Linked DNA regions of Kluyveromyces lactis. The protein of the gene in region 2 purifies or fractionates together with the protein of the main gene of each other region. This does not show direct contact. Links are inferred from orthologs where the notes say so. Each region holds a gene or a part of one and is shown on either strand. Other genes may lie near its edges.

Region 1 (4,889 bases), on a different chromosome or scaffold from region 2:
ACTAACAATTTCATGAAGAATAAATCTAGCATTTCATCTAATACTTTCTTCGCTAGTAGGACTAGGGCTAATTACCAGCAACCTAAGGCCTCCTCGCCAATATCCAGCAAATCATCAAGTCCAGAGCCAAAAACTTTCACATCCTCAAAAGGGAAAACTTACAAACTACAAAGTTTGGATGAATTCTTTGCAGATATCCCAGAGAAACCGAAGAAAACGAAGATCGTTATAGAGGAAGAATCAGAAACGGAATCTGATGTTGCCCAATTAGAAGAATCAAGCAGCGATGAAAGTGATGATACCGATGATATTGAAGAAGGTGAGGAAGACGACAGGAGTTCTACTTCTTCCGATCCTTGAGAGATCACTAACTTAGTTTAAAACCAATAGAATCTTTAATTTTTAACTACATAATAATTACTGCAATTTTCTAGTTATAATAACAAGTTAAGCTCTTCTACCTCATTGACAGGGTAGTACGGAACCAAAGCATCTGGTTGAGCGACGTATGCTCCGTTATATAGTTTCCAATATGCGTTCCGAACATTCTTAGCAGGATGAAATAAACCTCCCCAGGCATAATTCATAGAAACACCTGGTCCTAGAGCCATTCTTAGTCCTTCTAGCCCCTCTAGGATTCTGGAAATAACATGAGGTGAAGTTTCAAAGACGTTTGGCAATAATAAATTCATGCAATGGATGAACGCGTCCTCTAATCCTCTTCCTGCACAATTGAAAGCTAAATGCTTTATGCAGGTTGCTGCAGTTTGTCGATGAACCAAGTCCCTATCTGTTAGAGCATCCTGCAACAACGGTATAAGTGGATAAATGTAATCCTTAGACATGGGACCAATGTATTCTAAAATAAAGGCAAGTGCCTTTAAAATACCGTTCTGTACGTTTGTGTCAGGTGTTCTGTATTCATTCATCAATGCAGGTATGACAACAAATGGCCCACATGTCTTAGCAACGATACCAATTGCAATAGAGGTGTTAACACGAAGTTGACGTTCTTGCACCTTCAAATTATTTAACAACGTTACCAAAACATCCTGAGGTCCTATCGCTTTGGCAATATATCCAAATGTTCTGTTCGCTGCCACCCTGATGGACTTCACAGGACTTTTTAACATTTCCAAAAGCTCAGAACAAATGCGCATCCATTCTTTAGGAGAAACATATTCAGGCCCACGCCTGGCAATTCTTCCAACAAGTTTAACAGTAGATTCCTGGACTAAAGGATGGTTGTTTCTCAAAATTGGTGTCAATGATAGTAAAATTTGATTCGGAGGTGGTTGTAAGTCAGTTAGCCTTATCTGTGCAGCAGCTTTGTCCATTGCGGAAATGATTGCAGCTAACACCTCTGGATAAACTTCGCCTAACGATTCAAAAAGGATAATGTTGAATTTATTGATAAGAGCTGTTTCTTCACAGTGTTTGAAAACCGGGATCAAGAGGGCACATAAACTCGCCGCATGTGTTCTAACCAAAGGTTTTTTGTGTTTCAAATGTTCTAGAATAATACTTGACACCGGCGAAATATACGGTTTCATTCTGGTATTCAAAGATTTGGCGACAGTTCCAATAGATCTGTAGACAATTCTCTCACCATTCGTTTGATCTTGGAATGCAATAAGTAAAGCATCAAGCAACCTCGCTTCAAGCCTTTCATCAACATCTGTCATTCCTAATGCTTTCACAACTCTGTTAACTGCATGTGCACCCATTGTTCTGAACGGTTCAGATTCATCCTTTAATGGATATATAAGCTTTTCAAGCGTGAATGCAGCTCCAGTCTTATTAGCCAATAAAACAGTAGTAAATGTTACTATGTTGTTGAGTTGACGATCCAAAGCCGATCTACGAACCCAAAATTGTTTGAAAAACTCTGCTGCTAGCTCTTTTCTCAGATACTGAGGTGTTACACCTTCAGTCACGGAAAGCTTTTGTATAACAAATAGAACCGTTTTCTTCATATCTTCGTTCGGTGAATTGAATTCTCTCTTTACAATCTTCATCACTTCTTCAGCGTAATACGACGCATATTCGGGATCCATCAACGGAATGAGAAATCCTAGAGCCTTCAAAAATGCAGCTAGTTCTCTTCCCCTGTTTTGTTTAACACCTCTCCAAAGTGGTTCGAGGACCGGATTAAAGCGCTCAATACCATATGGCTGGCAGCTTTGTGCCAATGATGACACTGTTTGAGCGGCTATGATTCTCACTGGAGGATGTTCATCTTGAAATCCCTTCTCTATACATGCGATAAGATCGTCGAGGTATGGTAAGCTACCAATCCCTACTAAAATAGCAATTTGCTGAATTATCTTTATCCCAGTATGTCTTGCCTTCCAGCTCTTTTTCGATCTACAAACCAATCGTAGGAATGGTATTGTTTGACTTACCCCGAAGGCTTTCGATACAACGGCCATTGCTCTCGCCGTCGTGTTTCGCACATACTCATCCTCATGGTCGAGATCTGGTCTCATTGTGTATATCATTGTCGGTAGTCCCACGGCTTTTGCCAAAGTAGTTATAATATCTCTACCTGTAGATCTAGTCAAGGGCACAGGATCTATAAGCATAGGACATAATACTATTAGGAGCTTATGTGTATATGGTTTTACCAAATCCTGGAGCTGGAAAAGAATTCTATCCATAAGTTTCAACATTAGTTGATGCTCTTCATCTTCAAGTGTTTTATCGAGAAGAATGGGCAAGATCGAATCAAATAACAATGGTGCCCCGAAAGAGGGTGCCTTTTGAGTGAGTGCTCTGAGAGCTATTTTCCTAGAGCTTGGTAACCCATTTTTCACCTTAAGTACCAATTTTAAAACCTGTTTCTGTTTCCTTTCCTCTTCAGTCATATCTTCTGGAGACCTTTCATCAAACAAAATTGCGAAATGTTGTCTGTCTGAAGGCTTAAAGAACTGAAGATTACGTACCCCTGGAACTTCAGTAACCATCTCTTCCGAGAGCTCAGTTATAATATGCTGCGAAGTCTTGGGCATCGTATATCCACCGCCACTTTCCTCTTCCTTATCACCATCCTTATCGGTTTTCCTTCTTTTCACATCTTTCACTTGCTCTTCATCCACTTCTTCATCCAAATTCCTAAGGAACCTTCTCTTATGATAATCAGACTGTTTATTATACAAGCTTCGTTGCTTCTGGTTGGCTGTCAACTCATCATCCCCCTCATCTTTCCCTACAGTCGATTCCAATATGGCTCTGGGAGCAGTGTATTGTCCTGTAAGAGAATGTCGCTGGCCCGACTTTTCGAACTTGATAGCTTCCATTTTAAGTACAGCTGTTTAATACCAAACTCGGCAATAGCAATAAAGATCCTGATTGGTGCTTGCCTTTCAGTTATACCTTTCTTCCTTTTGATTCAAAGGTTCTTGACATCAAAATTGTTACTAAGTTGTAACTCGAATCTTTAATTATAAACACATATACAAAACAAAGAACGATACTTCTCAACAGAGAAAAGAGGATAGTTTAGTTAAGAGGCCAGAAAATAGCCTAACTTTTAGAAAAGTATTATACTCTGGGTCCATACCGCATGAGGTTACAAAATTGGATTCCAGTTTTGCTTCTAGCAGCCATCGTGACGGCTGAAGTAGACTTTGAAGTTAATCCAGTTGACAACGAAACAGAATCAGTTCAGCAAGATGTTATAGATGAAAGCTGGAATGCAGAGCCTGGGGAATCATCGAGAATAACACAGTCCTCGAAGTTTCTTTCACTAGAGCATCCTATTGAGTATAATTTTCGAGAGCATCTGGATCTAACTCCCTTGCCTAACAACTTTTTGCTTGCAAGTTTTCAGTTCTATATGCAATCAGAGCCATTTGGTATAGATAGAGACCAGCACGAATCCAGTGAATACTCTCATCACACAGTTTTCCCGAAGCCCGTTGGGCCCATTATGTCACAGACTAATACCAGACAGTTACACTTGAGATTTACACATGGGCTATGGGATTCACAAGAATGGGGCCAGCTTCCACACAACGGGTTGAAATCTGGAGGAACAGGTGTGGAATTATGGGCTATTGTGGAAGCACCATCGAAGGAAGAAGCGTTGAAATCATGGATAACGTTGGCCAATTCGTTAAGTGGATTGTTCTGTGCTTCCATCAATTTCATTGACACTTCAAAGACGACGTTTCCGGTATCATCATTCTTACCGAAAGAAGACGAAGCGATCCCACTACTGAATCAAAGCAACCATCTTTACCTCATGAGAGCAACTTTAGCCAACGAACCGGTTTGTACTGAAAATTTGACCCCATTTGTAAAACTTTTACCAACAAGAGGGAAATCTGGTATCTCCTCTTTGTTAGATGGCCACAAGATCTTTGATTCAAATTGGCACAGTCTGTCGATTGATGTCAATACTGTTTGTGACGAATCAACTGCCAATTGCCACTTTGTTATGGAAGAATTTATCGAAACAGTGGTCAACGTACCAAATGCTTTGGCCAGAGCTGACAGACCAATTCCGAAGCCTTTACCAGGCGACGAACTTCGTTGTGACACGAATAGACCACACGACGCGTTCCAATGTTTCCCGTTACCTCAAAGCAAAGAAGTTAGTTTCAGCATCTCAAAACTATTTGGTAAGAAAATCCGTGGAGGCAGCTTGCTTGGCGAACAAAGCTCAAAAATATGTGTTCACGTTCCCTCACATTGGGACGTTATGATACAGGTCGACGAATCATATTTTGCAACCGACGACAACTGTTTCGATCTCAACAATAACAAACCACATGATGTTCGCTTGGAAACGACAGACTCTAAGAGTGTACTACCCTCCAAAAAGACTCCAATATACGTTTCCAGAGCTCTCACTGGTTATGGCCAAGACCGTGGCGGGTTAAGAT
Region 2 (4,033 bases):
GTTCACCCAACTTGCCTTCAGCAAGCTCTTCAAATGTCGAAAGAGTATTGATTGCGTCTTGCGTACGCCCATTCAAATCTTGTGCTATGGCCAATGAGGTCCAATTGGCACGATATCCTCTGTAGTTTTCCCAGTACTTTTTTCTCGATTCCAGCGCGCCTTTGAAATCATGAATTTGAGATTGCAATGTCGCCAAATCTCTATAGATTTGAGTGTTTGTAGAACCATTTTCTAATGCGGCCTTGAACCACTTTACAGCGTCTGAGTAATTTTTCACCTGTCTGTAATAAATTCCTAATAAGTGTCCACCAATTGGACTTACAAGAGTGCCTTTAATTTTGGATAACGCTTTATCAATGTAACTAGCAGCTTCTTCAGGTGTACTACAGAATTGCAAGTTCAATCCCTTCAAAATTATAGAGTCCACATGACTGCTGTTCTTCTTCAAGATTGTGTCCAAGATCTTCAACGACTTCTTGTAATTTTTACCTTCATATAGTTGCAGTGCTTCCAACATATTGCTGTCATCCTTAGACCTACCAATTGGAAGTCCCACTTTCCCGTGAGATAGTCCCTTTTTTTTATACATGCTAGTGTAGATCAATGGGTCGCTGAGTGTAGATAAGCAAGCCAGTAAGAGTGTTTCTCCATTTATTCAGTCATGAATATGATTGTTGAACTTGATAATTTTCATGATTTAGACGTTGACTATTGTAAATTTTTCAGTTTAGAGATACATTGAAAATGAAATGTTTGGGTTTGAACGAACTGAAGGTAATAGTTAGCAAGCGGAGCTGGTACGATTCAAGGAGTTTATTACTCACCTACTGCAATAAAGTTAAAACATGTTGCAATCCAATGATACTTTTGATATAGTTACATACTCACATTTACAAATATTTTACGTAATTAAAGGGAAACAGCTGACACTTTTGAAACGTAGGGTTTCTAACGAGTTAATGTAAAGATCAAAAACGGAAGTCAGGCTCTTCTTCCACTTTCTGTTTTTTATGTAAGACATTATCATCGTCCTTCTCCTCTACGCTTGTTGATCGTTTGTTCGTAATATTGTAAGAGGTAGTGGAACTGATTATTGTAGATCCGTCGACTTCGTTTGATTTAGCTTCCGTTAGAACAGTAAATAAGGGTCTATTTTCATCATAGTGCTGGTTGACTACAGAGCCTCCATCAATTGGCACTAAGCCTGAATTATTGTTTTCATGTGTCTCGCTTTCTGTTTTTGTTGCTTCCGCTTCATTGGCGTCTGAAGACACCTCATCGTCGGAAATTGATTCGTTCAACGGATCTGGATCAATATGTGCGTCTTGATCTTCTAATTCTTCAAATGAGAACATGGCTCCGAATAAGTTTTGTTTGGGTATTCTCAAAGTATCTTCAGGGTAGTATCCGTATTGTGTACCGGTAAGATTAGAGATTTCCCAATTTATTCCACAGACTTTCATACCAGGGTATGATTTGGGTAGTCCTAATCTATTCATTTCATGACACCAAGGCGGGAGCATCCCCTCCGTGAGATTTAATGCCTCCCTTAAAGTTTCCGATAGATACCCTGGTCTATATCGTGTCTTTATTTGTTTCCATTCGAGTTCACTATCCAAACTTCTGTTTTCATAATATAAATCACCAAATGACAATAGTTCAGGTTTCCAATTCTTTCCCAAAGTGAAAAATGCTTCGTACAACCTTTTATAATCTAGATCTAATACACCTAGCTTGGGTTGAACTTTTGCTCTGGTAATATCCTTCAATTTCTCTGCTTGCTTTTCGTTTCCAGAGGGAACAGTCTCTCGCATCGTTTCAATATCGGTTTGTCTAATAATCTCAGGTAATTGAAATGGCTTCCTTTCCATCATTGATCGTCCAGATAAATAACCTCTTTTCATTTGCCAATGTCTGGGGATCCCCACTGTATTATGTGTTGTCTTTATAGCTGCATTGAAATAAGGCCATTGCGCATCGCAGTCAAACCATTCGATGAGTTCCGGATATGGTACTGAAGCTTTCAAAACAGCAATACTTGGTTTGTTAGCAAGTCTCTTTTGTCTTTCTGATATATTTTGAAGTACTTCATCCGCTTGATCCTCAAAACTGTCGGAACCCTCAGCATCCTCATCGTCAATATCAGCCCGTTCTTTTCGTACTATGGCTTGTTCCCGTTTTGAATCATCATCCTCATCGGCCCCTGTAGCCGAAGCTTTAAATCTTTGTAACACTTTATTGAGACTTTCATCCTTGATAACTAAAGGTTCATTAATTACCTGTTGCGAGGTGTTGCCATTCTCTGATGACACTTGTTGTAACAAACTGGAAAGCCTCTTCTTCCTTTCTTCTGCATCCTCTTTCACAGATCCATTTTTATTCTTTGAACGGCGTTTATTAGCCTTGGCTTTCTTTACCATAGTGCAATATCTGGTGGGCAGTTGACTGTTGTTATATTAATAAGCAGTCGAGCCAGAATACTATTGTATGCTCATCTGTCAATTTGCCTTTTTTATGTCCTTTATTAAGACCACATATATTTTTCAATTAAATGTTGAAATTTATACCATTATATTATACGTGAACAGATATGGCAACATTCAACGGTCTTGTATACATGTGATAGATGCTATATGACTATGGATAATAACGAATCACTCTTCTAAATTCTTGAGTCTATCGTTGATTGAATCGGCGAATTTGTTAAATTGTACATCATCGTCATTCACTTTCCGCAGTAAGTCCTGTAACTTTTGCTGAATATCTGAGGCTATCTCAAACACGGTGGGAACATCTTCGTTGGAATTACCACTATTTTCTGATCCTTTTGGTTCAGGGGTAACAATTGGTTGTGTCGAAATCATCTTTTGAAGTGATGACTGCATGTATATGGCTGTATGTAAGCTAGATCAATAGACTTCAAGGTATGTCGGTTCTATGACATTTACATTTTTTTTAGTTATTTGAATCCGATCCAAATTTTGGTGATACAAATGATACATGGAGGTGATGAGACTAACAATGGCGAGAACGCCAGCTGGTCTATTTTGTCCATGATAGCCTATTAGGTATACAGATGAGTTGGAAAGGGGTTTTTGCAAGTTCATTTCCCAAAGATACTTTACAGAAGTATATTGCTGCCAATGAGAGCATCGCCAACTCTACCGTTTTTCAAGGTACGCTATATGAGCTCACGGTGGTACGAGAATTAATGAATAAGCTCCGACTGGAGGATATGCAGGTAGTTGGCGGTTCATATGATGGCGGCATTGATATTCGGGGCAAATGGAACGTTTTACCATTAACAAAGGCTATAGAAATGCAAATACAATTCGATGAGCTACCTAAACGTTTGAAACTTCCGACTACATCGATAAAACCATGGAAACATAGGGTGAAACCCGATAAATATTTAGACTGTTACATTCAATGTAAGGCTTTCAATTCAGATAAAGTTACTGGCCGCCAGGTACGGGAATTAATTGGATCATTCTCCATGCAAGTTCCCGCTCGTAAAAGAAACTCGAGCATAATGATAATGAGCTCTCCAACTTTGTTTACAAAAGATGGAATAAGGCTGTTTAATGAGGCCGCAATACCAATGGTATTTACCAAAGTGGATATGATCCAGAGATTAGCTGATGGAAGCTTCGATGTGAAAAACTCGGGAAAACTACAGCATTATTATGAGAATGACTATGCATCGAAATTACTTGCAAATTGTGGAATCAAAGAATGGTTAAAATTGAAAGGTTATGAGTCCTTAGCACAAAAATGAAATATTAGCACGCAATTACGCTATCAGAAAAGTTTAAATAGAATGAAACCTGTACATATGATGAATGTAATAAATATGATATGCTAATTAATTTAAAGATGTATAAATTTATAAAGGTTGTGTATCTGATTATGCAGCGCATGAAAACGAGATAGGAATGTATATAGTAGCCAGGTTAAAATTATGTATTAATGATGTCTCGATGTTGAAGGGAAGGCGTAAGTTTTAAAACAAGTTTGGGAATAGTTGTGGATG

The links. The genes of interacting proteins can lie anywhere in the genome.
Region 1: the proteins of CUS1 (region 2) and HSH155 purify together in Saccharomyces cerevisiae (affinity purification with mass spectrometry; 8 studies listed by BioGRID, with this or other methods). This does not show direct contact. The link is inferred for Kluyveromyces lactis from reciprocal best matches to the Saccharomyces cerevisiae genes CUS1 and HSH155.

What each region holds. Positions count from the first base shown.
Region 1 is NC_006037.1:834,063-838,951, reverse strand, and holds HSH155 (U2 snRNP complex subunit HSH155), read right to left. Parts: upstream 3,300-4,889; coding exon 435-3,299; downstream 1-434. Other genes in the region: APL6 (AP-3 complex subunit beta), read left to right, coding at 1-360; GPI-anchor transamidase subunit GPI16, read left to right, coding at 3,566-4,889. UniProt on the Saccharomyces cerevisiae protein: Contacts pre-mRNA on both sides of the branch site early in spliceosome assembly.
Region 2 is NC_006042.1:789,891-793,923, forward strand, and holds CUS1 (U2 snRNP complex subunit CUS1), read right to left. Parts: upstream 2,421-4,033; coding exon 969-2,420; downstream 1-968. Other genes in the region: peptide alpha-N-acetyltransferase complex A subunit NAT1, read right to left, coding at 1-589; BIL1 (Bil1p), read right to left, coding at 2,655-2,885; RRG7 (Rrg7p), read left to right, coding at 3,077-3,778. UniProt on the Saccharomyces cerevisiae protein: Essential splicing protein required for U2 snRNP binding to pre-mRNA during spliceosome assembly.